Nothobranchius furzeri: one gene and its partner. The protein of the gene in region 2 purifies or fractionates together with the protein of the main gene of each other region. This does not show direct contact. Links are inferred from orthologs where the notes say so. Each region holds a gene or a part of one and is shown on either strand. Other genes may lie near its edges.

Evidence for each region.
Region 1: the proteins of pim1 (region 2) and edc3 purify together in Homo sapiens (affinity purification with mass spectrometry; 3 studies listed by BioGRID and IntAct, counting the BioPlex papers as one, with this or other methods). This does not show direct contact. The link is inferred for Nothobranchius furzeri from reciprocal best matches to the Homo sapiens genes PIM1 and EDC3.

The regions. Positions count from the first base shown.
Region 1 is NC_091744.1:58,994,400-58,998,593, forward strand, and holds the start of edc3 (enhancer of mRNA-decapping protein 3), read right to left. Parts: upstream 2,805-4,194; 5' UTR 2,664-2,804; intron 2,472-2,663; 5' UTR 2,469-2,471; coding exon 2,305-2,468; intron 2,233-2,304; coding exon of another isoform or gene 2,216-2,232; coding exon 1,989-2,215; intron 1,896-1,988; coding exon 1,557-1,895; intron 1,473-1,556; coding exon 1,319-1,472; intron 1-1,318. UniProt on the Homo sapiens protein: Binds single-stranded RNA. Involved in the process of mRNA degradation and in the positive regulation of mRNA decapping. May play a role in spermiogenesis and oogenesis.
Region 2 is NC_091755.1:49,180,547-49,184,616, forward strand, and holds pim1 (serine/threonine-protein kinase pim-1), read left to right. Parts: upstream 1-1,282; 5' UTR 1,283-1,512; coding exon 1,513-1,579; intron 1,580-1,709; coding exon 1,710-1,816; intron 1,817-1,909; coding exon 1,910-1,960; intron 1,961-2,107; coding exon 2,108-2,474; intron 2,475-2,855; coding exon 2,856-3,032; intron 3,033-3,117; coding exon 3,118-3,335; 3' UTR 3,336-3,562; downstream 3,563-4,070. UniProt on the Homo sapiens protein: Proto-oncogene with serine/threonine kinase activity involved in cell survival and cell proliferation and thus providing a selective advantage in tumorigenesis.

The sequences.
Region 1 (4,194 bases), on a different chromosome or scaffold from region 2:
TTAACATCGAAAAGAGGAAACATTGGAAACTACACCTCAGAACATACCTGAGGAAACAAAAACAAAAGGGTACACAAGCGACTAGTGCTGCAGCTACATGCATCACGCAGGTTGTTCCCAATCTTTTACTCAAAAGTTTGATGCTTTTTTATGTTTGATCTTCTTTATGTCTGATTCTTCAGGCACTCGAGGAGTACAGACGCTTCCCTCTTTTGCTCCCTTATCTTTTTTTCCCCAAGGCTCTTTGTCCTGTCTGCCCACAGAGCGCTTCTCTGCATTTCTTCTGAAAAACTGTTAACTAACCATGGATTTGATAAATTGGTCATTCAATGCGATCGATAAGATTTTTTCAACATTGAGAACGGAGTAGGGGGGCTCCCACATGTCCACAGGGGACACACCCAGTGGGATATATGTTGGATTCCCGGAAGGAGTGGAAGATCATATGCCTCTCCCAGCTGTCGATTGAGGATATCGAAGACGTGTGGATATTCGGCCTGATGATCACTGGATTTCTCCTGATTGGAGTGGGAGGATATCTGGTTTTCTGGAAATTTGGGAAGACGGGAGCGGTTGGAGGGTGACCTGCACCCACGGAAAGCACCGTACGTGTGGAGACTTCTCAGACTGGGACGTTACTCGAGGTGAATCATAAGCTGGACAATGTTCTAGCTGCGATACCGGTATTAGTGTGCAAAATGGACGTCATCTCGGAGAGTTACCAGACGGTATGGACAAGCTTAAAAACCCAAAATTGGCTTCACTGAAGGACTGGAATGATCAGTTTAAAAGACTGAAGGCAAAGAGGAAAATTATATCAGCCTGACCCAAACAAATTCTTGTTATCCGAATCTGACGCCCTGGTAGCCTTGAACTGCAAGCAACTAAAAACCCCCATGAAGGAATGCAGACAGATGCTGTGAAAACCCGACCTACCAACCTGTATGTCTGATCTCTGAATTGTGCATACTGAAACTCTAATTTACCTCTGGGATTAATAAAGTATTGATTGATTGATTGATCCAAAACCGTTTGGTCTGTTTCATCCATCATTTATACCAGAGTCGGCCTTAGTCATGCATAAAAAAATCTTTGCTTTTCTCCATTATTAAAAAGTGAAGCCACTTTTCGGGCTGCCTCAGCATGTCAGTCCCAATTAAACATGTCGACACAGAGGAAACCACAGTCATGACAACCAATGAAGTATCTGTAATTAGCTCATTTAAGTTACTCGAATAATTTAAGTGCTGAAATTGACTCAAAACTTTCCTTATTTCTAAGGTGATTTAGAAGTTAGTCTTCATCTTTACACATTTACCTGTTGGGCCCTCCTAACAGTGTAAGTGCCATCTGACTGGCACACACTCCAGTCATCTCAAGTCTTCGCTCCAGTGAGAGGCCGTGACGCTCAGCAGCAGACAACAGCCGCTTGTGGAGTTCATAGGAAATACTTGGTACAACAAGTCCAGAATCTGTAGAAAGTAATAGAGAAAGGTGTCAACCAGTTTAAACCCAAACACTATCATATAATACCATTTACAATGTTAAGCACATACCAGTACAGTACTCTTTGGCCCCAGGCTGAGGTACAATAATCTGTCTGTAAACGACTGGTTTGCCCTCCAATATGTTCTCATCATGGCGGTACCGTGAGGGTGTCTGGTCTTGAGGAGTGCCCCGTGACCGTGCCCCGTTACGCCGCTCTGATGTGTCAATCTCTGAGAAAACTGCTGCTTTGTCAAAAAGGGCAAGATTCCCTTCGAAGTCAAAATCCGTGTCCAGGTCATCCTCCATGCCGTCCCCAAAACACTCATCGTCTCTGTGCTTCATCTGACCGTTCTTCACTCCATTCTTTTTAGGTGTTGCTTGGTTTGGTCCTCGACTACTAGATGACCCTGGTGAGATTAGAAAAACTTCAACCATTAGTATCATGCCACAGAAATTGATTTTTTGTTTAGTTATTTGATCGCCGAACAAATGGCCCTTACATGAGTTATGTCTTCGACGAAACCCTTTGGGTTGGCCCAGAGCATCTAGATGACGCTCTCCGTAACTTTTAGAGCATTGCTGGGGAGAGTTTAATTTCTCAACAGCTCTGGGGTCACCCTTTGGGACTGCCACCGGAACACTGTGCACGTTTGTAGCTGTAGTAGAGGTTCTCCTTGCATTACCACTTCTGATGTCTAAAATCTTTAGCTCCCTTATATCAATGGCACTGGAAAAACAATCAAACTATTGTATCAATAGTTACTAGAAACTGCAAATCACACAAAGTTACTAACAGTGGAAAAGACCCGTGTTTACCTGAATGTGACCTCGGGAACTGGACATTTGACTCCGTTGTGAAAAGGCTGCCTTAGAGAGATGGTTTGGCTTGACTGGTCCACTGATGATACTTCTCCTTGATACACCCCAAGCGTTGGGCCACAATTAATGGACACTAAACTACCTAACCAGTCCGCAGCCATTATCTGCAAAAAGTTAAAAGTTGTCACACTTGTTACAGCAGCACGTTAACTTGTGACCTAAGAGAACCACAAATATTAATTGTTCATTTTTAGGCCTACGAAATGTGTCGACTGCTTATTATTCCGGCCTGTTATTAAGCTACGCAGAGCCAATTTACGTGCTGAAACGTAAAATACCTTCAACTATCACCGTACCTTTAGGGAATTAAGATAAAGTAGACCCCTCTTGATAATAAAAATGAAACAGCGGGTAGTAAAAGCTAAGAAAATTGCTCTCGGAGAAGTTAGCGTTTTAGCTTTAGAACAGCTACTGCTATTCGCCTTCCTGTTTCCGGTAGACTGAGCTTTTCAAAATAAGACGGAACTTTTATATCTGGCTGGTAAAAACGTTTAGTCAAAAGTCTTTAACTGAAAGTGAGTGAGTGAGTGAGTGAGTGAGTTTTTGTTTGTTGTGGATTCTTTGTTATTTTTTTACATGTTTTACTGAAGTACAAGTATTTTATAAGGTTTACAACCATTCCATTCCACACGTTTAATGGAAATAGTTATCAGTTAGCAAATAATCAATACTTGCAGCATTTCCTCTTTTTTTTCTTTTCTTTTTTTTTTTTTTACTTTTTATTTATTTGTCTTTCTTATTTAATCAACATATACAACAAAAATCTGTGTTGGTAGAAAAACAAACTAAAGAAAAGAAGGAGAACCATATAGGGCAAAATTGAAAAAATGACAATAAAATGTATGGGTGAATATAAAACAGTTGCTTGGGGCTTTGCCAATTCTATCCTATAACCAGTTATATTTTTACCTTTAGCATCCTATGTCCCTTGAAGATAGGAGGTCCATTTTTCCCCATTAAAAAAAAGAGTTCTCCCCTCAGTCTCAACTAAAAAGTGATCCGTTCCATCGTATATTGTTCACTGTCTCCTCTCACTGTTCCAGGGTTGGTGGTTCTGGTTATTGTTTTTTTACCAGCAATTAACAAAATTTTACAGAGATAGTCCTTTCTCTTGACCACATTCTCAGTTAAGTTACAAAACATTAAAATCATCTCATTTTGGGGTATTTTATATCCAAATAATTTTGTCATTTCAATAGATTTTTGATCCTAAAATGGTTTTATTCTGTTGCATGTCCAAAACATGTGGGTGTGGTTGGCACTTATGTGTCCACACTCCCTTCAGCAGGGTTCCAGTGAGTTTAATATTTTATGATTTAGTTGTGGTGTTAGAAGGTTTGTTTGTTTGTTTGTTTGTGGATTCATTGTTATTGTTTGACATGTTTTACTGAAGTACAAGTATTTTATAAGGTTTACAACCATTCCATAAACACATTTAATGGAAACAGTTATTAGTTAGCAAATAATCAGTACTTGCAGCATTTCCTCTTTTTTTGAAGCTGTCTGCAGTTCACTGATGCTGTCAGTCAGCTTCTGTGCCAAATCCTGAGTGACAGCAGCTTCTTGCATAAACAATGCTTGAGATTTTTCAGAATTTGTAGGTTCTTCATCTAGAGCAGGGATTTCCAAAGTGTGGTGCACGCACCCCTGGGGGTGCGCGAGCTGCCGCTAGGGGGTGCGCGAGGTGAAAAGTGTAATGGCTGCGGAGCTCAGAGAAGTCTGTCATATGTCACCATTATTGTAGAAACTCATTTGTGGGTGGGCCTAAGAAAAAGTAAGTGGGCCCAATAAATGTAATTGAAAACAAGTATATTTTTGCGCGCGCGC
Region 2 (4,070 bases):
AAATTTGAATGTGCATGTAAACAAATTATGTTAATGGGAATAACAAAGTCTATTTTCTTATTACAGTCTACCTGATAATTAAAAGTCACGCCCCTACGTCTAGTTTGAATCCTGCTTTCGCTTTAGCAGATTGTGGAATGCAATACATGACGATTTACTACTTAATTCCAAAAGAAAACAAAAAGTAAGTTAAGCAGGAGAAGGGGGAAGGAGCAAGCCACTCAGACAATAACATGCGCGGGAAAGGGAGGGCGGAGGGGCAAAAGAAGTCTTTTTATCTCTGGTTTCCCACATCCTGTGAACTGCTGCAAACGCGGCCACCCAATTTGAAAGAATGCGTGGAATGCGCATTTTCTCCCCCTGCGCCGCTTTGATGCGCACCCAGTCTAAAGGCGTCTTCAATAGAGCGCAATCCCGGGCTCTGCAGAGCACTGCTGCCAGTAAGCTGCAGTGTTTAACGCGAAAATAATCAGGTAAACGGCGGGCTGCAAGAACAGACGGAGCCGAACATGATGAAGTGCTCTCAGAGTTGCACGTGTCACTTGATGCGGGAAAACAAATCCTGGTTTCCGAGTCAAATTGTGACTTTGAAAGCAGCAGGAAGCTCCCCGTAGTCAAATATGAGACACGTATGAGTAAACGCATGCATGCAATTCTGACTTTAAAGATGAATAATTATATTAATACGCATCAGTGTGTGATATGATCGCTGTGCCGCTGACATTTGTTTCTTTAGGTGATTTAAAACTGCAAACACTTATTAAAATTAATATTAATGTAGTTACAATAAAATTAATAAAGTTGCTGAAATAAATAAATAGAACTGTGCAAGGCTGGTGTTTTGTATTGTCCTCCTAGCGTCTTCTCCTTTCCAACAGTGGCGCTTGGCTTTGAATTTGCATTTCCCTCCAACATGAATCCAGAATTATGCTTTATTCCAACCCTTTTTGGCGCGTTTCGATTCCCGCCACGTCTGTCTGGGCCGGCCGGTTGAAACCTTGTGTCTGGGTTCGTTCGCTGATTGACGTGAGATTCGAACGGTTCCGAAAGCGAACCTGGATTCCTATTGGTTTAGAGAGCGGAAAGAGGCGGGCGCGCGGCATAAACGTCATCGCGTAGGCCACGCCCTCTTACTACTGCCTTATAGCCGTCCTCCCCCTGCTTTTTGTTTCCAGGAGCCGGTGTCTGGCTGAGGCGGTCGTCTGTTGTGTCTTTGCGGGTTTATTCTCCTCCTCTGTTTACAAACACCACCGGGAACGACCCGTTCGTTGCTGTGAGAGAACTCGCGTCCAGCCACCGAGTCGACATTTTTATTATTTATTTTTATTTATCTGGACCACGCGGCGGATTTGCCCTCTTTCCCCCCCTGGATGAAAGGATTTGCCGCATTTTGTTCTACTCGCAACGTGGACTGAAAGCTTCCCAACAGCGCGGGAGAGTCGAGCTGCCCGGACTAGAACACCGAGGAGGAGCCGTTTGAACCAACCCGCCGTGGTGGATTCGGTTACCGGAATGCTGCTGTCTAAGCTGGCCCACATCTCTAACGTAGACATGCCGGTGAAGCTCCAGGTTCAACAAGGTTAGACGCCCTCAGTGCCTTCCCGGAGGACCGGGGCTGCAGCAGCTAACGCGGCTGCACGCATATTTACCGGTCTCAGGCCAACACCGTCTTCCTAAAGGGATGTTTACCGGTTTTTGTGTGTTCGCAGTGAAGGAGAAGGAGCCTTTCGAGAAGCTTTATCAGGTCGGTGCCGTGATGGGCAGCGGCGGCTTCGGCACCGTGTACTCCGGTACGAGGGTTTCCGACGGGACTCCGGTCAGTACATCCTGTTTTCCTCCGTTAAACCAGCCTTTCTCATGCCTGTGCTGTTGTGTTCGTTCCGTCTAACCGGGGCTGCTTCTCGTTCAGGTCGCTGTCAAACACGTCGCCAAGGACAGGGTCACCGAGTGGGGAGATCTGGTAAGAGACATTTTGTACACATTCCTCTAGAAGCGGCGGAGTCCGTCTTTAATCGTTTTTGGTGATTTGGTGTGATTCACGTCGAAGGTAGACGCCGTTTCGGCGCGTTTTCTGCGACCTAACGAGCGGTTTTCACGGTTCTTTCAGCCCAACGGCTCCCGGGTTCCCATGGAGATCGTGCTGCTGAAGAAGGTGGGCACGGGCTTCCGCGGCGTCATCAAGATGCTGGACTGGTTCGAGCGACCGGACAGCTTCATCATCGTCATGGAGAGGCCCGAGAACGTCAAGGACCTGTTCGACTTCATCACCGAGAAGGGCGCGCTGCCGGAGGAGCTGGCGCGCAGCTTTTTCCGCCAGGTGCTGGAGGCTGTGCGGCACTGCCACAACTGCGGGGTGGTGCACCGCGACATCAAGGACGAGAACATCCTCATCGACCTCCGCACCGGCGAGATGAAGCTCATCGACTTCGGCTCGGGAGCGCTGCTGAAAGACACCGTTTACACGGACTTTGACGGTGAGATTTCGTGTTTGTTTTCCGTGTGTGTGTGCGTGCGCGCGTGTGTGTGTGTGGTCTTGAGTAGAAATTCCTGGGTTGTGTCATTTCTGACACACAGATTCTGTCGCCCCCTATTGGCCGGAAGTGGCATTTTTACAACTCAAAGTTTGTAAACAAAGTCACATGTCTGCTCCCCCCTCCCCCCCCTCACACAAACACTGCCAGTCACGCAGCCTGGCACCTGAGTCCAGATAAAAGCCTAGCAAACAAGCCCGGCTGCTATCTGTATCTGCCCCTGCAGGGCTTTTATTTTCACTAACCGGCTGCTGTTCGTGTGTAAATACACCTGCACCGTTTTATTTCTACCCTAATGTGTATCTGTGTGTTTTTGTCTGACAGGTACCAGAGTGTACAGCCCCCCAGAGTGGATCAGATATCATCGGTACCACGGGCGATCTGCTACCATCTGGTCCCTGGGTGTCCTGCTGTACGACATGGTGTGCGGGGACATCCCGTTCGAGCACGACGAGGAGATCACGAAGGCACACATTCTTTTCCGAAGGAGGGTCTCTCCTGGTGAGCTCATGCCGGGTGGAATATCTTGTTTCCTTCATGCGCTGTGAACTTGTGGACTAATTGGTTTCCTCTTTTGTCCTCCCAGAATGCCAGCAGCTGATTAAGTGGTGCCTGTCTCTGCGGCCCGCTGACCGCCCGTCCCTGGAGGACATCGTTAACCACTCGTGGATGCAGAACACCTCCCCCTCCTCCGTAATGCCGTCCACGGCGCAGACGGAGAAGACGACCACCGAGATCAGGCTGCACAGCATCGGCCACGAGCCCACCGCCTTCACGCCCACCCCCGTGGCAGTGGCCCGGTGATGACGGCAAACCACAGAGGCTATTCCAAAAGACTTGATGTAATGAGCTCAAAACGGGGCGAGAGAGAGGGGCGTTCCCACGCCCGAGCCAGAGAAAGTGTAAGGAACTACACGTGCTGGAGGCCGTCGCCGACCGTCACTTTGTGGTTCCAGTCTGGCAGACCGAACCCGCTCCTGCTGAGTCGCATCGATGCCGTGGCACGGTCCTGGCTGGACTCTGGTCCAGGCAGCGGGTGTCCGGGAGCCCGCAGGGCGCAAGTCGAGGCTGTTCTGTGCAACAGCGGGCGGACAGTCCGAGTTATGTAATCTCTCAACACCCTGTTCACTTCCCAGCTCCGTTTTTGTCACAGCGGAGCGGGAAGAGCGGAGGCGTTGGACGAGATGCTGGAGTTAAATAAGTGCCTTCTGTGAAATTATCTAGGGAGACCTGAGAATACTTGAATCTGTTCTGTACTTTTGTGCGAGGCTCTTTGTTGTTTCTGCTCTCCTGGGCATAGATCAGTAAAGCCCACGCCTTTTACAGCCACCACCATCACCACTACTCCAATGTCATTAGCAACCAGACGACCTCATGGCTCCGGCAGCAAACCAGTCATTACCTAGAGAAACACTGGACTTACCTCGGTCTATTCACGTCTGCACCCACCTCTGCTCCACAACTCTGCTTCCTCCTGATTCCTCAGATCCACCTGAACGCACACAACAATGCAAACGCATACCAGACCCCCCCCTCCGC